Coturnix japonica: one gene and its partners. The protein of the gene in region 3 interacts with the protein of the main gene of each other region in a pairwise test. Links are inferred from orthologs where the notes say so. Each region holds a gene or a part of one and is shown on either strand. Other genes may lie near its edges. The genes, in order: RASSF5, SAV1 and STK4.

What was found.
Region 1: the proteins of STK4 (region 3) and RASSF5 interact in binary tests that used the Homo sapiens proteins (3 or more experiments, as listed by UniProt). The link is inferred for Coturnix japonica from reciprocal best matches to the Homo sapiens genes STK4 and RASSF5.
Region 2: the proteins of STK4 (region 3) and SAV1 interact in binary tests that used the Homo sapiens proteins (3 or more experiments, as listed by UniProt). The link is inferred for Coturnix japonica from reciprocal best matches to the Homo sapiens genes STK4 and SAV1.

Annotation. Positions count from the first base shown.
Region 1 is NC_029541.1:2,734,257-2,742,053, forward strand, and holds the start of RASSF5 (ras association domain-containing protein 5), read left to right. Parts: upstream 1-1,465; 5' UTR 1,466-1,500; coding exon 1,501-1,894; intron 1,895-6,308; coding exon 6,309-6,421; intron 6,422-7,436; exon of another isoform or gene 7,437-7,777; coding exon of another isoform or gene 7,778-7,797. UniProt on the Homo sapiens protein: Potential tumor suppressor. Seems to be involved in lymphocyte adhesion by linking RAP1A activation upon T-cell receptor or chemokine stimulation to integrin activation.
Region 2 is NC_029520.1:52,522,969-52,530,439, forward strand, and holds the start of SAV1 (protein salvador homolog 1), read right to left. Parts: upstream 4,784-7,471; 5' UTR 4,641-4,783; coding exon 4,547-4,640; intron 3,950-4,546; coding exon 3,503-3,949; intron 1-3,502. UniProt on the Homo sapiens protein: Regulator of STK3/MST2 and STK4/MST1 in the Hippo signaling pathway which plays a pivotal role in organ size control and tumor suppression by restricting proliferation and promoting apoptosis.
Region 3 is NC_029535.1:4,550,286-4,556,502, forward strand, and holds part of STK4 (serine/threonine-protein kinase 4), read right to left. Parts: intron 2,342-6,217; coding exon 2,183-2,341; 3' UTR 1-2,182. UniProt on the Homo sapiens protein: Stress-activated, pro-apoptotic kinase which, following caspase-cleavage, enters the nucleus and induces chromatin condensation followed by internucleosomal DNA fragmentation.

The DNA of each region.
Region 1 (7,797 bases), on a different chromosome or scaffold from region 3:
GTCCATTGGAGCTGTGCTGATGTGGACCATGTGAGTGTTTGACCTGGAACGTGGTTGGCTTCAAAAGGAAGGATTTATTTCTTGGCGTGCACCAAAAGGAAGAGCTGCTAATAGCCCTTCAGCTGCCATAATGCAGCAGCTGCAAAGAGGACTCCCAGAATCTAAATGAAATAGGGATTTTCTTGCCTGTGTTCATCAGGATTTAGTTTTTCCCCCCCCCGAATTCTCAACCCTGCTCCTGTTTTCCTGCATTAGCTGAAAACCTGCTGAGGAAGCAGAGAATGGCAGTGAATCTGCTCTATCTCCCAGTCTGGAAGGAGAACAGATAAAACATCCCTCTATGGGGAAAACCATTTACCCAAGGACAAATCTGCTGCTGGTCTCATGCAGAAGTAGAGGATGCATGAAAGTGAATCAGGATCCTGAATGGGGAAAAAAAAGACCTTCCAATATGAGTCATGTTACTTAACAAACAAAAATGGGATTTTTCAAGCTGTATTATTGCTCCTTTCATTTTAGGCTCTTATTAGGGGTTGCCTATTGCAATCGTCTTTTGTAACTCAGAGCCAGATCCATCCTTCAATTTAAATTATTTCAAAGGGATTTAAGCATCTTTGGCTCATCCCATCCTCAGAAACTCGCTTTGTCTCTTTGTCATCAGGCCTTCAGAGCAGCACCTGATCCAAACACCCTCATCTCTGCACCCCAAAAGCATTGCAAATGGGCGTCCTCAGAGCTGCAGTGCTGGAACCTGTACAGAAGAGAGAGACTCCAGAATCTGCCCATCATATTTTCCCTTTCACTTCTCCCACAACCACAAAAGCCTCATCTGGGAGAGTTTAATTGCTTGGGCTCTCAGCCCTCAGCATCACTCCGGTGCCCTGCTGTCATTTCAGAGGGGAAAAGGTAATTTGTTCCAGCTGTCTGTGCAGCCTGGTCCATGCTCTGTGCAGGAGGGTCTGTGTCTTCAGCTCAGTGTATAAAGCAGCACCTGAGAGGTGATCGCCCTGATTCTGTAGGGGCAAAACCTGGGATGGGGATGGGGATGGGATGGGATAGAAGGGGATGGGATGGGATGGGATGGGATAGAAGGGGATGGGATGGGGATGGGGATGGGATGGGGATGGGGATGGGATGGGATGGGGTGCTTCTGCGCTCCTGCAGTGTCCACTGGGAACAGCTTTATGCTGCACGCTGCTCACCCCATTTGCACAGCCGGGATTAGGGTGATGTATGCGTGCAACGTCCCCGGTCCCGAGAGGAGGAGCGTCCCGTGGGGAGCGGTTACACAACAGTGTGGGTTGGGATTCCATGGGGAAATCCTAAAGGGGGGTGGAGAAGGGGGGAAGAAAGAGAGGGGGGGGGGGGGGGGTTTACGACTGCGATGGATCCTATGGGAGGAACCGCTGCTCCGGGAGGGTCACCACGAGAAGATCCCACGCGGGGCCGCTCCCCGCACCACCCCCCCCTATATCAGTGTCTCCTCCCCGGGGCGGCCCAATGCACCCGCCCTGCCCCGCTCCTCCCGGCCACACCGCCAGCCCGGAGCCCGCAGAGCGGCGTGCCGTGCCGTGCGGTGCCGTGCCGTGCCCACCCGTGGGGCCGAGCCCCTCGCCTGGCTCCATGCGGCGGGGTCCACCCGGCCCCGCTCCCCCCTGCCCGGGGAGCCCCGGCGGTGTCAGGGCAGCTCGACGGCTGCGGAGGCGCGGAGGGTCCCCTCGGCTTTTGCCCGACGTGCGCAACATCTTCTCGGCTCCTCGAGAAGCGGCGGAACGAGCCCACGGTCACGGTCACGGTCACGGTCACGGTCACCGCTTCGTCCCCCGCGTCCCTCGCTGCGGTTGGTGCGATCTGTGCGGAGCTGCCGTGCGGGATCGTGCCCTGCGCTGCGAATGTGAGTGCTGCTGCCGTCCCGCAGTTCCATCCCGCACCGCATCCATCACCCTGCCCTACTCCCCACCAACTCCATGCCCCCCTCACCCCCAGCCCCGTGTCCCCCCGCAGAGCTGTCCCCCGTGGGGTGCGGATCCGTGCGGGGGATGCGGGACTTGGGGTTTTTTTTTCCTCCGGGGAAGATGGGATTATCGGCTCATCGGGGCGGAATGGCTCGTGGTTGTGCCGCCTTACGGTGGAGCTAAATCCTTCCAGGAATAGCACGTTGGGAATATCTCCTTTAGGTTCTTTGGGCAGTGAGCAGTGGGAGCTCTCTAGGAAGACTCGCTGTGCTCCCATCGGGTGCATTAAGATTTAGTTCTGCAGGAAGGGTTGGCGTTCCCATCGTGTTTAAGGGGTTGGGAAGAGGGGGTGGGAGTGAATGGGGTGTCCTGGGTCAGACGCAGCCCATGTGCATCACTGTGTGAGGGGTGGCATAAGGACCAAGCAGTGAGTTACAGGCAGCAGAAGTCGAACCTGTTGCCTTGTTATTCCATATCTTCTGAATGGGGAAAGGGCTTTACATCCTATAGACTATGAGCAGTGCCTGGGGGCGGCGCTCCTCCTGCCCCAGCCCTGTGCCCAGCTGATGTTTTCAGGTAACTGAGGGAGCATCCCGATCTGACACGTTAATTGGCAGCACTTTGTGATGCTGTGAGTGCTATAAAAGGGGTGTTTTGAGGGATTTCTTTCCCAGGGCTCTTTTACGAGTGATATTGAAAGAAGCCTGCAGTGCTTGCTTCCCTTTTCGTTTCTTCTGAGAGCTGTCAGGCTGTGGGAATAGATCAGCCTCTAAAATTCCCCAAACAACGACGTGTTATCGCTGGGGGGAGGGAGAGAAACTTCAGTGGGACTCTTAGAACATCAGCACCCATCGCCCTCCCCCTCCTCCTGCAGCACATCCGTTTCTGTTGGGGTTTTTTTCTTGCTGTTTGTTCAGGTGGGGCGGAACGTAGATGTTGGAATGTGAAGGTGACAACGCAGCTTCCAAGTCTGTGCTGAGATTTATTTGGGTTCTAAGCAGGGATATCCGGGGTCGGGGGTGGTTCTGGAAGCAGAAACTCCTGCTCCTTCCCCTTATCCCCTGCATTATGGGCTGGGCTTTTCCCTCAGGCATTTTCCAGCCTTAGGTCCTCTCTCATCCTGGCAGCTCAGGGCATGACTTACAGCCCTTGTATTTCCTGGGCTGTGCTTATCAAACTGCCCTATGGGGTGAGCTGGGTGTGCCCTGCATGGGTTTGTCCCATAGACCCGATCCCTCCCCAGGACATCATGTCACCCCACCAGCACTCAATGAGGTTTCCTTGCAGGACAATGGCACAGCTCAGTCTGTGTTCCAGCACTGTTGGATCAGGACCCATTTCATTGAGAAGAAAGCTGGCACAACACACAGCACTTTGCTTTCTAGCTTGTAAACTGCAGCTCTGCCATTACAGGTTCTGGAGTGGCTGTTTAATTATCAGTGCTCAGTAGCAGGTGTGGATGCTCCCAGCTGGGCTCTGGGATGGGGTCTCTGCCCACACCTGCAGCACTTTAAGTGTGAGGTTTTCCCATGTCTCCTCCCTGCGTGTCCCTCCCATTTCTGCTCTCATCACTGTAAACAATAATTGCCACCAGGAGCCACAGTTTTGGGGCTTCCTTAGTCTGGTTTGGGCAGATTCTTGTTCTCCCAGCAGCAGAGGATGAGGGTGGTGGGGAAGGTGCAGGGCAGGGCACAGGGATCAGGTCTATGGGGCAGGGCACAGCAGGTATTGCTCACTGGGGGACTCAGCATTGGCAGGCTGCTATTCTGGGGGGGGCTCAGGTCCTTGGGTCACCCTTTGCTGCTGCCTTCCCATCCTGTGCTTATGGAGGAAGACACCAATGGAGGCTTTGGTTCACCAGGTGAGGTTTGGGTTGTTTCTTCCTTTCCTGGTCCTGTAGCTGGGCTTGGTGGTCTGGGTTGGGAAGAAGGGATGTGTGTGAGCTGCAGGGTTGGGGGATGCTGAGGGGTGAGGAAGGAATTACTTTGTATTATCCTGTGCTGCTTGGTGTGATGTTTGGATTTAGTGAGCTTTTATCTCTGCAAATTAATGGATGAAATGGGTAGAGTGTGTTGTGTGGGATGCTGGAAACCTGCCCCATGGGTGAGGGGATGGCTGTGATACAGAATGGGGAGGTTTTAAAGCCCTTTGTTGGGTGATGGGATGGATACGAGCATCATCCAGCACCTCACGTGGCTAGAAAGGATGGATGCTACAGGAAAACTGCAGCACTGATCCAAAAACCTGGCAGGGCTCATGTCAGTATTGCTCACATTGCTGATCTCAGTGTATTTCTTTAATGTTTCATTCAATATTGGAGGCTTTAGACAACCACAAGGGAACAGCAGTGAAGTGGGGATGTTAGAAAGGGACCTCCCAGCTCAGCCAGCTCCTGCTCTCCCTTCTAATCTCTTCCGTTGGGTCTTTTTATCTTATCAAGTAAGAAAAAGAAAAAGCCCCCGAAATAGAAACTTTTCCATGGTGAACAGGACGAGCCCTGAGGTGTGTTAAGCCCCGAGCTGTGCAATGGGCTCCACTGTGCTCTAAATATATAAATAAATGTATCCGTCAAATAGATTCACCGATGGCTCATGTCAATGCTTTATCTCCATGGGATAAGGCTGTGGAGGCAGGCGCTGCTCTGCGCAGTGCTGTGCTGCCTTGGGAGTGTTGGTCCCCCTGCTGAGGATGTCGGAGGGCAGAGCAGAGGCTGCTGTTTGCTTTGGGTTCATTGCAAAGAGAATCCGCAAAGTATTCAGGCACTTTTTCAAGTCCAAGTCTTGCTCCGAGGGACCGCAGAGGCTGAGCAGGGAGGGCTCATTGCTGAGAGGTAGGGGCTGTGTTTGGGTGTCTGTTGGTTGCTGTTGTTAATGAAGGGGGGTAATGGGGTTCCATAGAGCACAGCTGGAAGTGCTTCATGCCTCAGCAGGGAAGCTGCTCCATTAAGAAGCAATGGCTTTAGAGCATCACCCACCCAGTGGCTGCTTTGTGCTCCTGTCCCAGCTTGGTGCAATGGCTGGGGTTACCCTATGAAGCTGGACAGCTTTGAAGAGCATTATATCAAAGGATGCCAATGGCACACAGGGCTGGGCAGGGTGACTGCAAGCTGCGCTTAGGCAGATGGATGAGCACCCAGATGGGGTTCAGTTGCACATCCAATGTTATCACTCTGATAAGCTTTATCTGCATGCAGAGGGAAGTTCCTTTCAGCTACTAAAGTTTCTTGCTATGTTGTGATCAGACTCGAGGGTTTTCTTTACTTAAAGAAGCTGTTTCCAGCGGTGGCTTTGTTTGACTCGAATAGAAATGATCTCACGGCCGCAATGGAGGCATCCTGCCCCATCACGTGGCTGCTTCCCAGGGCTGTGCTGGGCTTCTAAAATTAGTGCTGCCCACCAGATAGTGGTGATTAGGGCTGCTAATAGGCGGCGGTGACTAAGGAGGTGTCATGCTGTAATCCTAAGGGGGAAATGCCTGGCTGTGATGGGGGTGGACTCAGTGATTTGTGGTCTGTATTTCACACTACAGACTGCTCCCCATTGTGGGTGCTCCATCATTCCCATCCTACATGCCGTGCATGGGGACATCTGAATGTGATGCCTTTGGGGGCTGCTGTGTTGGTTGCTCAGGTGGGGCTGCAATCACAGCCTGCTGTGCTTGGCACCTTGCAGCATAGAGCTGGCAAATGTCCCACTGAGCAGCTGCTCCAGCTGTTTGAAAGGTCATGCATTGCATTACCATGCAACTGCTTGGCTTATCCCTCATTAAAATTAAGAGGGGGGAAAAAAATCAATCAGAAGACCCCCTTGCTTGCCTCCCAGCCTTGAGACAACCAGCTGGAAATGGTAGGATGGCAGCTGGTGTCAATTGAATGCTAAGCAATCAATGGTTCCTCTGAGGGAGATACTCAGGCACTGCGTGAATGCTCTGCTCCTGCTTGGGAATTCCTTGATAGGGGCAGAGATCTGATTCTATGGGATGTCACTTTGCTTTCTGCAAGTCCAAGGGGTTCAAAAGCAATGACCCAAGTGCCCAAAAATAATAGAGGGAAAGGCAGGTTTTCTTGTAGAGGGGGCCTCTGCAATGCTGAGGGTGTTGGTTTTGGGGAGGAGTGGGTGCTGGGTGGCCAACAGGTCAATGACTGCACTGGAATTGTGGGTTGTGTAAGAAATAATTGATTGAATGCTGTTTGTGGGGCTGTTAAAAATTAAAAGGGCTGTTGGAGTGGGGGGAGCACTCAGAGGGGCTGGATGTGGCTGCAGACAGCACCCATGGGTGTTGGTAGAGCGCAATGGGGAGGACATGGGGCTTCTGGCTGCTCTCCCATCACAGCACGGCTCTGTTCTCTCCCAGATTGCAGGTACACGTGCCATCAGCAATGCTGCAGCCTCGTCCAGCTGGACTGCCGCCGGCCTGACCCCGGGCAGCTCTCTCCTGTGGGCACCATTGTGCTCCCCTGCAGCCAGGTATGCCCTCATGGTGGTCAGCCTCTTTCCCAAAGCCCATTTCTTTGCTCTTAGCAGGGTGAGATTTCATTGCAGAGGTCGGCCCGTGGCCCTAATTGATGCTTGCTAATAAATTCCCTGTGCATCTTGCTTCTGTGCCCATCATCTGAAAAGGGAATAGGTGCCAGAATACACTGGGGAAATGGAGAACAGCACACTGGAAGGGTGGGAAATGCCGTGGCTGGTGTAGTTGGCAGCCAGTAAATAGTATTATCAAATGTAAGCAAAGCAGGAGCATCGGAGAAAGTTAGTAAAGTCCTGTTGGCACTTCATACCAAGCATTAATAATATGGGCCTTGATCCAGCAAAGTACTTAAGTGTGTTGTGTTTAGGTCCCAGATTGCTCTCCCTGGGTGCAGTGCAGCCAGCACAGCCTCTGCCTGGCTCAACCCTGGGGCTACAGCACCTTGATGTGGGATTTCCTACAAGAACAAAGGATTTGAATCATATTTTCAGCCTTGATGTCACCAAAGGTGATCTCCAGCTGACCCAGCTCTGCACCTGACACAGCACTTGGTTCTGCTCATGCCCTGCACGCTTGATTTAAGCCTATTTCTCTTCTAATTATGACCCAGCGCTGCAGAGGAGAAGAAAAATGCATTCCCTGTCTGCAAAGCTTCTAAATATTTGCGGCTTGAGCATAACTAGAAAGCAGCCTGGAGCCTCCTTATCTACACTGGCGGATGGGAGCAGCCCCGAGCTGGGGTCTGTGTCAGGCTGAGTTGTGGAGCATGAGTTTCCATCCCCCTGCAGTGAGGGGGTTGCTGCAAACGGGGTCAAGGAGCTGGGCAGCATTTCCTTGGCTTGTACCTACACAGCTCCCAAAGCATCTGCAGAGCAGATGGACCTTCACTGCCCCCTGCACAGCACTGCAGGGCTTGTACCCCTTCCCCACCTCTTTTTGGATGCAGCGCATCTCTGCGAGCATCCCTCGCTCCAGCCTGTGTTTGGGATGCAGGGAAGGAGCAGCTCTCTTTCTAAGCTCCACATCAAGGACACGTTTCCATTCAGCAGCACCACGGGAGGCTCCGGGGCTGCCCAGCGCTTCAATCCCTGCTCTAAGGGTGAGAGATTTTGCAATGAGGAAGCGGGCGCTTTGCGCAGCAGGAAGGGGGAGGCAATGCTGCGCAGCGAGCTGGGGGCGAAACGACACGGCGGCCGCTCCATGCTGCACAGAGGAGGAGGAGGAGAGAGAAGGGTTACCCGAACTCAGGAGCAATCGCTGCTGAGGATGAGCAGCAGGAGATGCAGATGAGAGCCAGGCAGTGCGGGATGTGAGCGCTGCGGAGCCGCCTTCGATGAGCCATCGGCGGCAGCATGAGCAGCGGGTACTGCAG
Region 2 (7,471 bases), on a different chromosome or scaffold from region 3:
CTCACCCACTTGGTAGCTTTATGAAGACAAGCTAATAGCTGTGTTCACGTGGCAGCTCCATCCCTCATTAGGATTAAGCAACTCAGCCCTTTACTTCCAATGAGAAGGAACATGAGGGCTGCTGCCTGACCTTTAGCCATGCTGGGGCCATGGAAAGCATTTTAGGCCCTGGCCATGGTTACACCACTGGTTTTGTTTGCATTCCAATGACAAAATACCAACACTGAAGTTTCTTGAAAACACTGCACTTTGGGTAAAAAGAACAAACAAACAACAAATATTAAACCACCACCAACCTGAATACCCAGACCTGACAAAGGGAAAGAGTTTTCATAGAGGTATAAACGTATTTTGCTGCTCACCCTGTCAGTGTTTTGCCTTGCTGTGCTTTTTAAAGAGTTCCTCCCACTCGAATTCCTTCATGATTGCAGCAGCAAATACAAACGGATTTGTATCATGGGGTAAAGGTGAAAGTTTTTTAATGCTTTAAGGCTGGTACTAATGAAGCTGCCCACAGCAGGATGACAAACAGGCAGTGAACCACCCTCTGCCCCACAAGTTCTGCTGCCACAAGGCCTGTGTCTGCTCAAACAAGAGCCAGAGAAGGCAGGAAGATGGGCTCAGGGAAATAGGAAGCCAGCACCTGATCACACAGAGAACTACTATGAGAAGCAGGCCAAAAAGCAAACCATATGTTGCTGGAAAGGCAGCTCTGCTTCTGTAGCAGCATCACCTCTGGCTGTATGGCTTCTCCCCAGAGTACACTGGGATTTCAAGCTCAGAACTGCCATTCACATGTAAGAAGTGCTCCGCTTACCACTCAAACAGGTACACAGAAACTCAGGTCTTGCTTACAAGTTAGTTCCAATCTATAATGTAGACAGAACTTCAACCACAGACCTCCCCAAACCTTTCACCTAGAAGAAAGGACAGAGATGGCGAGGGAAGATGGGTAAAGACTCTTAGAATACAGTTTGAAACCAACACTTAGAGAAATAAAATTAAATATATTGATATATATCAAGAAATGCCATAGAGGTAACCAAACAGCCCTGGGAAGCAGCTGAGGGCACTTCTGAGGAACAACACTCACACTAGTTAGTGATTAAAACAAATCTGATGGAGAAACAAATCAGAGAGAACATGACTTGAAGGAGGAACACCAATGCAATGCCACATTGTCACCTCTTGGAAAAAATCAAGATATTTGCTTGAATACTTTGCTGAACAATCTGAGTGTGAAGATGTCAATGAGGAGACATTGCGATGTACTTTGTGAAGAGCTCCATTCAGATGAAACGCTTACAAACAGGGATGGAAACACGTAGGGAAGGTGATCCAGACGAGGCAAGGGATCCAGAAGGCCTGACTCTGTGCTGGAGATAAGGAGGGAGGAACTGGCCATTAGAGGGACTGGTGTTGCTCAAGAGAAACAAGGCTGCAGAACAACGGGTGGCTGAAATCAGACTGAGCTTAACAGCGAGGGGAAAGAAATAAGGAGATATGAGGCTTTCTTATTCTTGACTACACCATATTCTACTGATACAAAGTGCCACGGACTCAGAGGACATGAGGACATACAGAGGACAGAGGGTAACATTCTTACTGCAGTGAAACTACAGGTGGAGCTTAAGAGTCCACATCCTGTGTTGAGATGAAAGGAAAAAAGAGAAGAAAACAAAGGATAACGTGTTGGCAGACAAGAGGTTCACCTCTGGATTATTTCCTGCATATAAGCAAGACTGAATGCCCATCCATTATGAAATATGTCAAATCTGCCCAAGCTATTGACTGCAAACATACACAGGTGACAAAGACCAAGCACACATCAGCAGCTCCTTGTTTTCCAAAGGCTAAGAATGCCTGGAGACAAACAGATCCGTGCTTAATGATGAGCAGCCAGCAGAGATGGAGGGGTTTTCACACAGTCTAAATAGAACTGATGTAATTAGGCAGCACTGAGCAAAGTTAAGGATGAAGCAGCAAGTCTTAAACATCAGCATCTCAATCTGCACTGCCTGGCAGCAGCGATGCCAGCACTGCTCTCCTGCCATGCTTCAATGGAACATCTCTGTATTAAAAACCAAACACCACCAGCAAAGCATTGTCAGCTTTTTAGCTCCACCCACAAGTTCAGTGCTGACAATTTTACCAGCAGATTGCAAATAACAATGAACTAACAGCATATTTCACTGCATTATTTAAAGGTCTGGAGTGCTGCTCTCAAACTCCTCCCTGAGCATCATTTCAGCAGTAGAAACACCACTCAAACACCGCCTGCAAGGTCACAGTTCTATGGGTAACACTGACATCTCACATTTCTTCTTTCAGTACATTGACAGCAGCATGACATACAAAAGACTCTTCTGTGTCATCACAGATAACCAAATACTTCAAAAACAAATACTGAAGGGATTTCTTTTCTGATTCTCTTGTTCCATAAGAAAAATGCAGCAGGTCCCTGAAAGTGTGTGATCATGACTCTTCCTCAATGACATGGAATGACCTGGGTTGGAAGGGACCACAAGGATCATGAAGCTCCAACCCCCCACCACAGGCAGAGTCACCAACCTCCACATTGATACCAGCCCAGGCTGCCCAGGGCCCCATCCAACCTGGCCTTGAACAGCTCCAGGGATGGACGGGGCATCCACAGCCTCTCTGGGCAGCTGTTCCAGCACCTCACCGCTCTCACAGTAAAGAACTTCCCCCTGACATCCAATCTAAATCTTCCCTCCTTCAACTCCAAACCATTTCCCCTTGTCCTGCTGTTATCTGCCCTTGTAAAGAGTTGTCTCCCCTCCTGTCTGTAGGCTCCCTTTAGGTCCTGGCAGGCTGCACTGAGGTCACCCCGCAGCCTTCTCTTCTCCATGCTGAACAAACCCAGCTCCTGTAGCCTGTCTTCACAATATTACAATATTATAAGCCAAAAAGAATTCAGACACTAGGAAGTGAATTTTAGCACTAACTACACATCAATTTGCTGATTACACAAAACAGTCATTACTCATTGTTTCACAATAAATAATTCATTATAAAATTAACAAAAATCAAATGACACAATGATATTCTGGGCTTGTTTAGCTTGGAGAAGAGAAGACTGAAAGGAGACCTCATAGTGGGCATCCAATACTTGAAGGGAGTGTATAAACAGGAGGGGGAACAACTGTGAGGGTGGGCAGTGACAGGACAAGGGGGAATGGTTTGAAACTGAGACAGGGGAGGTTCAGGTTGGATCTTAGGAGGAAGTTTTTCCCCCAGAGGGTGGTGACGCACTGGAACAGGTTGCCCAAGGAGGCTGTGGATGCCCCATCCCTGCAGGCATTCAAGGCCAGGCTGGATGTGGCTCTGGGCAGCCTGGGCTGCTGGTTGGTGACGCTGCACACAGCAGGGGTTGGAGCTGGATGAGCACTGTGGGCCTTTGCAACCCAGGCCATTCTGGGATCCTATGTACCTAAAGCTGTTCAGTGATATGTGAAGGGCACAATGAACCCATCCTCACCTGACATGCGCCTCCCATGGTTGTGAGCCATCCTCTGGAAAAGCTCCCCACCGTGCTCATAATACCTGCAGTCCTCATGCAAGCGATCATTCAATTGCCGTCTCCTCTGGGCATCATAGAAGTGATCATAATAGTAACAACGTGTGCCGGCATCTCCATTTTCCATAACCGAGTTGGTTTCTGTCAGAAAGGACTGTGAGGAAGAGCCGTATTCTCTAGCGACGTCAGCTAAACTTCGAGCAAAGTAGGAAGGTGCAGACAGTCTGTTGCTTTCACGCCTCATTATTTCATGGGGCGCCCTCTGCACCGGCGTCCGAAGGAAACTCTGGTTTCTGGAAACAGCTCCATCTCCAGCAGAGCCATAAGCAGAAGGACTCGGGTCGGGAGGGCAGATGTCAGTTCGTCTTGGAATGGTCGGACCGTGACGGATAAAGGAAGGCATCAGATCTGGTACAGCAGAGAAAGGAAATGAGAGCTTTGTACGCACTTATGGTATTTGGCGAGCCAAAGTGTCTGACTTACAGCATGGAAGTAACTCCATTCTGATGCCAGAGCCCCCTTAAAGCACCTCTCAGTGTAGCAGCGTAACAGTAGGGCTGCAGCAACAAAAGCCATCACACCCTCCATGTGCAACAGAAGCTATTGCCAAAGAAGCGCAGTTTAACAGCCAAAGAAGCCAACACAAACAGCTCCCACCCCTTATCAGTCAGGCTCTAAACCTCTCCGTTACACCAAGATCCAGCCCAAGCCCCGTGAATCCCGCCCTATCAACACCTCACCAGCTCAATCACACAATCAAAGCGCGGCCCGGCTTGGGAGGGAGCTCAAGGCTCACGGAGCCCCAACCCCCCCCGTTTATTACAGAGCCCCCCCAGGCCGCAGCGCGGTGTCTCCCCCCGCCCAGCCCCAGCCCTGAGCTCGGTGCGGGCCGGGCCGGGCGAGGGCGCAGCTGAGCGCCGGGCTGAGGGGGAACAACGCGGCCGTGTGGAGCCCACGGCACGGCACGGCACGGCACGGCACGGCACGGCACGGCACGGCACTCACTGCGGAGCAGCGGGCTGGTCTCCTTCTTCACGTACTTCCCCTGCACCTCGCCGGGCTTCGACAGCTCCGCCCGCGTTTTCTTCCTCGACAACATCCCACCTCCTCCTCCCGGCCCGCTCCCAACGCCCGCATACCCGGCTCCGCTCGGGCAGGGCCGGGCCGCCCTCGGGCTCACAGCGGGGCCGTGTGTGGGGCGGGCGGCGGGGCCGTTAGGCGCGGGGCGTTGTGGGGCGGCGGCCCCGCCTGGGGAGGAGACGAGACGGGAGGAACGACGGGGACAGAGCGTCGCGGTGGCGCGGTCACAGCGCCCTCTAGCGGAAGGAGTGTGGCGGTACAGCACTCTGCTTGGTTCGAGATTCATCACCCAGCCCTGCCATAAAGGATGGGAAACAACCAGCCACAAGCAGGGATCTGACAGTGATTTATTTCATTTCTTTACATTCATGATAAATAACACACAGCTTGGTCCCTCCTTCCCCTTCACGTGGTGGTGTAAGGTCAGCACATGACGACGCGCAGCAAAAACAAGCGTACCCAAAGACCAACTGTTTCCATTTATGCATTAGACAGGTCAGCAGTGCCAGCATCACACACAGCAGGAAGGCATGGAACACCTGAGGGCTGGTGATGCTGTTTGTGTTGTAATGGACAGAGCTGGGCTGTCCCCAGCTCCACCTCGCCTATTCATTGGCTAAAAGTATGTTACAACCCTTCCTTTTCCAGCCAGAACTGAACTAATTCAATTTGCTTTGTACCCAAAGTAGCAATGGGAATATAGGTAGCAAAGCATGCTTTTATACCATCCTAAATTGACATGTAGTACTTCAATGGTGTGAATTCAGCTCACGTCCATTTAACACGAGTGCGATTCCTCTGCCCCCTCCTGCTCCCCAGACTCCAGCCCTGGATACCCACATGCCTTTATTCTCACAGTGATTCATAAAATGAGAGTTGAAAGCATTGAAAACACCTTCTGGCCGTGCAGTTACTGATAGCCAAACAGGCGAGCCCTGCTGTACCAAGGAGGCCCAGAAATTCAGTGACTTACCACATCGCTAAATACTTTGGTATCTGAAAAATGCCTGTAGTGCATAGGAGACACATTCATGCACAAAAGACCACAAAATGCTTTGCACGTTTGCATGTTTCTATGCTTATTTTCAGTAGCCTTGACACTGTGGGATGAGCTGCTTATCCCTTGAGCTGACACAACAAGCAACACAACACTGGTTGGAGCACCGTGACCATTCCCCCCACCTGGGAAGGGTTTGTCCTGAATTGTCCTGCAGCAACAAAAGCGGTACAGCATAGAAATGACAAAAGGCACTTCTGAGAACTCATTCGCACAAGCATTCCAATGAGATTTGGGTTTTTTGTCTACTGTGTTTCTCCTCCATCATTCTCCAGTCCTTTCCTGTGGTTAGGATGGTGTTTGGAAGAAAGAAACGTGGATGAGACAGGATAGGGAGAGAAGAGGAACAGATAGAATCCCTTTTCTCTGCTTCTCCCCTGTATTCCAGTGCTAACATCAAGCTTGGCTCCCTTGTTTTTGTAGAATCACAGAACCATTCAGGTTGGAAAAGCCCTCCAGGACCCCCAAGCCCAACCCAGCCCACCCCACTGTGCCCACTGCCCACGTCCCTCAGTGCCACATCCCCACAGCAATGGAGCACCCCCAGGGATGGTGAGCCCAGCACTCCCTGGGCAATATATGGAGTGGTGTTAATATGTAGTAGCTAATAATGCATTTCCAAACACAGTTCTGATCATCTGAACCATAACTGTGGTGTTTCCAGGAAATATTTTCAAACTTTGCTCATTTCCTTCGTGTAAGCATGGTTCAAGGTGTGCTCAGTTACCACACTGCTAACACACAGCCCTGGTACCCACACACAGAGGTGTAACATGAAGCACTGGCACAGGCTGCCCAGAGAGGTGGTGCTGCCCCATCCCTGCAGACAACCAGGGTCAGGGGATGGGCTGTGAGCACGGATGGAGCTGTGGGTGTCCCTGTGCATTGCAGGGAGTGGGACCAGAGGGCCTTGAAGGGTCCCTTCCAACCCAAATGTTCTATGATTACAACTGTTACCACTTCCAGATTAATAATACAAAGAAGATGGATCTCTTGACTTCAAATTAGAAAACCAAGCTCCAACTCACATCAGTGAGATCTGTCAAAATGTTTTTGCAGCCTGTGAAAATCAGGATATGTAAATCTCTGAGATTACGCAGCCAAATAGCCTGTGTGGGCATTTACAACAGCAGAGCAGTGAAATCATTTAAAAGGAATTTTTTTGTTCCTCCAAGACATTCTGCCACTACGGTATGTCTGTTTCCATAAGGCAATGGAGGAGGAGAAGAGGAGGTCATACCCAGCAAGTGCAGCTCAGTCCTGCAGCCCTCTGAGTGGCAGGTAACCCTGTAGACAAAGGTAACATCCCTTACAGCCACACTGCTGAGTGAAAGTCACCTTCCATAGGTTACCCTAGAGCTCCCCTCTTCCCTTCCTGCATCCACGATCCATGCATATTTAAAGAGGTCCAGTTTCAAGTACTGCCAGTATGGCCCCTTTCAGTGGTATTGTATACATTAAGTACACCTTACTGGTCTGATGGAGGCCAGCATTTGTAGGGGGAGCTAGCATCACATCTAGACTGTAGTAATAATTGGTTATAACAAGCTCCAAAGCATCTGAGTCCTCATTCAGCGACTTCTGTTGGGCCCTGAAAGCGTTCCCAAAAAGCCTGTGTTCCCCATGAACTCATCAGATAGGAGATGTAATTACCACCTGTCATTACAAAGCTGCGTGCCCTTCAGCCTTCCTGACTACAGCACCACTGCAGGCTGCTCGGGGAGTATGAAGGCAATATGCAACCAAAGGTGATTCTGTCTGTCCTGTTCTCCCTAATGCACGCTAACCTCCAT
Region 3 (6,217 bases):
CCCCGTCAGAACAGCTCTCCTTGAGGGTGTGAGCCTTGGTCTTAGTCTGTAGGACTCTGAGAACCGAGAGGGTACGATGCTCTACAAGGGGATCAAAAAGGGAATTACTTTCTCTCTACTCGATAATCAGAGAAGGAGAAAATAATTCGAGCTCCAAGTGCAAGAAATACCATCAAGTCTCGGCCATCGCAAGCTTGTAAGAAAGGTTCAAAGGCAGTCGGAGCAGTTTCACTTATTTTGGTTCATTTGCTGTGTTTTAAGACAATCACACCAGCAAAGCAGAGCATCTCAATGGCGCTTACATTCAGTTACAGCAGTCACAGGTTGCATATTCCAAAAGCACACACCACGATGTGGTGCTTCACTTAAAACTTGGGTTTTCTAATGCCCTACGATGACCAGAAAGTTACCTACACAGTGCAGAGGTAAAACTACTCCCAGCAGGATCTGCCTGACCGGTGTTACACACCAGCAGTGCATGGTTTGCCACATCCCACATCCCTGTGTCCCACCAGAGGTACAAAGCAGGCTTGGCAGAACAGTGCTGCTCACACTGCTGGTCACAGTGGGACAAACCGACGCAGACAGATCTGCAGAGGGGTACAAATGGCTTGATTCCTTTCACAGCAATGGAGTATATCTGTTAACAGTAGTCAGCAGTCTGCTGCAAGCAGGGAACAAGAGCCTCTCGAGGCATGGAATGAGCAGCATTTGAGTCAGGAGACAGTGCTGTTTAGTTGAATTACCTGTGGGATGTACCAAGGCCTGTTTCAGAGGATGACATGGAAACTCTTCTCTCCATCAGAGCAAAACAAAAATAAATTGGTAAGAACACATGGTTCTATTCAAATATTTCACCATAAAGCCATGCAGAGGCATTACTCGCTCTGTGCCCGGATTGGGGCTCACCTCACACTGCTCCTCAGCTCCACCACTGGGAGCGAACTGCATCATCCTCAGTGATTGTACATGCAGGGCATCTTCAGCCACCGACCCACGTTAGGAAATTGAATGAGAAAGGAGGGACTGGAAGAGAACAAATCTCTTCCCAGACACCGGCCATTGGGACATCAGCCATTGGCCTCTATGGATCAGCTCTGCCTCCACTCCATCTGACAACACACATCTCTGATACCCCAACAAATGTTTGCTTTCAGTTTAACTTTTTGACGTGCTAAGCCTGGCAGAAAGGTGAAGGATTGTGAAGGTTTTATTCCAGCACCTAAAGAGGTCAATTTGAAATGATGGAGCGTATGAAATATGTCACAAACTGCACAGCCCTTTCAGTGCTCTCAGACGCAGCACAAGTACCAAATTCTGAGGGAGGTTCACCTGACTTCCACCCATTCACACACTGTGCCCTCCCAGCACTCTGCTGTCAGCAGGAGGACATTTTCAAAGGGACAGATGAAGGGGAACCTGCTCTGTTTCAGGTCCGACCACCGATTGGCTTTCGGCCTTAAGTCAATGTGGGTTTTACATTACAGAACGTAACTTCTGGAGGCACAACACACTTCACCTACTGGTATTAATTCCTAACGTACATAAGCAAAGAACAAAACCAAGGTCTTGAAGAAATCCCACTCACGCAAAGCACAAAGTGTAAGGCATGGGGCTTATTACAGGCTGTTTAAAAATGAGATTTAAGTGTCTTCCAAAATGCTGGGCCAGTTTGCAGGTGTTCTCATCTACTCTCTTCAGCGACCTAAAACTTATCAGTACCTTAACAGCAGAACCATACAGTCATCAGCTTGAAACAGTCTGTGCATTCACAAAGGACAACAGAAACAACAAAAAATAAACCACAACAGATGCAGCCGTTAAATACACAATTCATATTAACTTAAGGGAAACAGAGTATGGAAAGGTTCATATGAAAGGAGAGTGAGCCATCTTCCATCGGTTTATTTCTATCCGCTCATCTGATTTAAAAATAATCCATCTAAAAACAGTAACAAAACTCCTTCGGATACTGCTTTAAATATGTGCCTAAATTAAAACACACCACGAGGATTCTCCATTCAATGGCATTCCTGAGTTCACAAAGGTGCTATGGAAAAATAAATGAGCAGAAGTATTGCCCTCTATTTTGCTAGCGTATTTCAATAGAAATCAACCTGTTTAGTAGTCATAGAAGCAAGGAGCTGATTGCTGGAGGCTGGAAGGACATTCTACCCGTGGCTCAGAAGTTCTGCTGCCGCCGCTTCTTGGCTTCGATGGCATCGAGGATGGGCTGCCGCTTGGACTGATACTTCTGACGGATCTCCTCAATCTCCTGCTCCATCATGGGGTCCAGCGCTGACAGCCTCCTCTGCAGCTCATCCACACTCCACGTCTTCAGCTGCCAGGGAGAGGAAACAAAAGATATGGGCATCAGAAGTGAAAGCGCACACAACTGCAGGTACCTCTGTACACACAGGTTGAACATCAGAGCTTAGTGGTCCTCTCCAGCCTTAATGACTTTATGATTAATATGAAAAAAACCTGGAAGTATATTACCTGTGCAGGTAGGTGATGCAGAACCAGGCTGCTGCTCATGGGTTAAGCAGAAGGGAGGTGTTTGGGAGGGAGGAGAGGGAAGTCAATGCACTGACAGTGCTCACACAGAGCAGGGGAAGGGGAGCAAGGCTGCCTGGCCCCAATCCCACATGTCATCTTCTCACTTGCACATGCATCTTTGAATGGAAAAACAGGAGTGCTTAGAACCTGACAGTCTCCATTTCACTTTGCTGCATGGCCTTGCCCTATAAACCAGCCCCACAGACACATTTTCTCCTGGAAATGAAGTTTTTAAAGGCTGGCACATCTGTCTCCATAGGGTTAGGCTTCAGGGATAGCAACATCATTCTCTTAATGAAGCGCCAGGAGCAAAGTAAGAAGAGGACAAGGACAGAGCATCCCATGATGCTCAGGGCGAAGTCTCAGCGCTGATAAGCTGCAATTAGAGCTGGGCTCAGCCCTGGGGCTCAGCCCCATCCCCTCCTCACTCCTCAGCGATTCTTCTCTGGTAAAGAGCCCAAATGCCTTTGTCAGAGCTATCTATTTTCATCCGCCGTGATCAAACAGCTATGACAACCTTTTAAAGAAAGGAACTGCATTTCAAATGTAAAGGCTGATATCAAACACTTGTTCTAAGGCTGGTGTCTTACAATGAAATGTATCTTGCAACAAGGAGAAGGGGTAGAGCAGGGAAATGTTCAAGCAAGGTCCCATGTGCACCAAGCTAACTTTTAACTATTTGAATAACAGCTTTCTTCCTATGCAAGGTTGTGAGGCACCATTTCTTCCTCCAAGTAACAGATCCACAAGCTGACATCCCTCTGCAAGCAGTTCAGACACTGATAACAAATTCACTGCACAGTGCTCACCTCAGCAAACTGCCTCCCCGAGTCACCATCCTTTCAAATCAGCATATAAAGAAAATATATCATAAAAAAAGTCACTCCTAACATTTGTTACAGTTCAGGCAAGTGTGGCTGCAACACAATATTCTGAATGCAACTGAATGTGAGCAAAAGGGGAACATTTTGATCTCTGCAGGAATGTCAGACCCTTTTCCTGCAGCAGGGACAGCAGCACGGTCAGTTTGGGGCCCAGCATAGCAGTCCGCTGCCTCGAGCCAGCCCAAACCACTGCCATAAATACAGTGCTGCCCAGCATCCCACCTCAGCTCCCATTCCTAGTGCTCCTCTTGCAAAAAAGACTGCCAAGAACGTCCATTTGCTGCATGAATTATAAGCATCAGACAGAAAGGAGCCATTTCCCAGCAGCTGTAACACTCTTCCCTCCCAGTGTAACATTCCAACGGAGAACAAACTCCTGCCACCTCTCCACTGGGGTCACAGGAACCCCAAGCACTGCCCTCCTGCAGCTTTTCCCTTTCCCTTGTTGATGCTGCATCTGATCCAGAGATTTAATGCAAAGCCTTTTCTTTGCATCTCCCCCACTGTGCACAACACATCGGCTTTGTTTTCCAACACTCTCTTAAAATTCCTGAAGCTGATGCCCAATGTGAACCCATCCATCACCAGAGAGGGGCTGCAGTTATCCTATCACCTCACAGATCTGCAGACGGATGCTGCCTTCTGGAGCACAAGCAGAATATAAATGCCATAAGTGAGATGGGGTTATTTCCTCACGGTGAAAACATCTGAGCAGCCCTGCAGAATTACCACCAGCAGCTGTGGGCTGTTTAGGAAGCGAACACCAGCTACCAGCCTGCCTTCAACCCCAACGTTCCAGGTGGCACCCACTGCTCAGCATAACTTGATGTCGACTTCCAAGTTTTAAATAGACCTTTGAAAAAGTGGCTTGAGCGTTTCTCACTTCATAAGGGGCAGTGGGAGTTTGAAGACTGAAATACAGAAATAATGAAACTGCAGCTTCCCACGCCACACAGGGAAAAGACATCAGCTAGATGGGAACTAAAGAAAAAACATAATTCTCGCTCGAGCATAGCTTTTGTTGTTCCCCCTCCCCTTTCTGCCTGGTTTTACACCGCTGTTTAACAATTCTTGACTGCACACCCAGAGATCAAAGCCCCTAAACAAACTCAAAGCAAGGAGCACAATGCTCTGCATGCAGGCAGGAAATGCTGAGCATGGCTTCAGAAGGCTGCCCATCCAAAAGAAGTTCTCCAAGCCATGCTAAATAGCCCATGCCATAAAGGAGTTTGCTGCTATAGATGATGAAAAACCACCACTACTGATATAACAAACCTCAGAATTAGTATAAACTTTCAGATTAAAATGAGTTTGATAGAAGCAGCATATGCACATGCACATGCAGACATTGTGGAACCTGCTGAGATCACGGGGTATCTAAGGATGTTTGCCAGCTCCTGGGTGCCACAGGCATTACGTGTCAGCAGGGTTCTGATTTGCAGAGGAATATGGAAGTCGAGGCTATATATAAAGGACCAGACACTCCAAAATCAGACAAGGCACTTAGGAACAGCAGCCACCTGGATAACACCAAACCACCTGAGAGCTGCTCCAACTACGTGGTAATGAAATCATTAGGGACAAAGAGCAGGAAGGAACAAGGCACAGCAACAGCCAGGCTAAAGGAACAACAGCAGCAATGCTATCAGGACATTTCCCTTCCAATAAATCCTAGGGCAATGCTTACGCTTTGCAGTCAGGATCCGGCAACTCCATCTGACGCACATCCACCTCAACTTCCCAACTCTTCTTTTATCACCTCCTCAAGTAGAGTTTCATTTTTGGGCAGCAGACACTCATTGGGTGCTACATGCAGCTATTTGTGGCAGCACCTCGGAGCACAGCGCTGCGTGTGAGAGCAGCCCAGGAGCTGGGGAGAGCTGTCAGAGATCACAGCCCATGGACACGAGCTCTGAGAGCTGTAAGAACTCGGGTTATTCTGGAATTAGCCTTCTACAACCTGAAAGGCTGTTTAAGTGCAGTATCAATTAAACGCTCATACCAAATACACCCAGAGGAAACAGATCACTGCACAGTACTATGCACCTTTTCTTTTTTTTTAAGACAGCAAAAAAAGCATTCAATTTCTCAGGCCAAAATGAAATGAAGAGGGTGATTTCTCATGCTAAGCAGTGCTCTGGAGTCTAGGTCCTGAAAATGCTGATATAAATTGGTGTTGGAATAGCATGCCATTTTCCCTTAGCGTTTTTCCTGAAATGCTGGCTCAGTCCCATTTGGCATCCTTTCAATCACTGATCTAAAAATTAAGTGCCTTGTTCTCATTTATGTTCCCAGCGTTAGAAGGCCTTGATGGAACGTACGAGCAGGCATTAACCAGTTATTCACCGTAACCTTGTGTCCAATGCAAGGGACATGGGGACCTTAAGAACCTGCAGGCACTCCTGCCCACTTCTCATCCTGATTATCAGGTCCCCACAACCTCACACATCTGTAGCCTGCAGCCATGCCACAGACAGGCTTCAGTAAATCACAACCCCAGCCCCAACACAAACATTAACTACCTCGATTCCCCCCCTCCCTTTTTAGCATGAGAAGTTTCATATTGTTATGAAAGCAGAGGATGAAATGCACTCACGGTGGGATTTCATGCAAGATTAAAAATACAGATATTAATCTTTCAAAGGATTTGAAAAATAAGTCTCAGCAGCACAAGCTTCTGCTTTTAATGCACCTTAATTATTTAACAAAACACACCGTGGGCTGCAAAACATCCAGCACAAGTCAAACAGCACCGTGGCCAGAATTTACCAAAG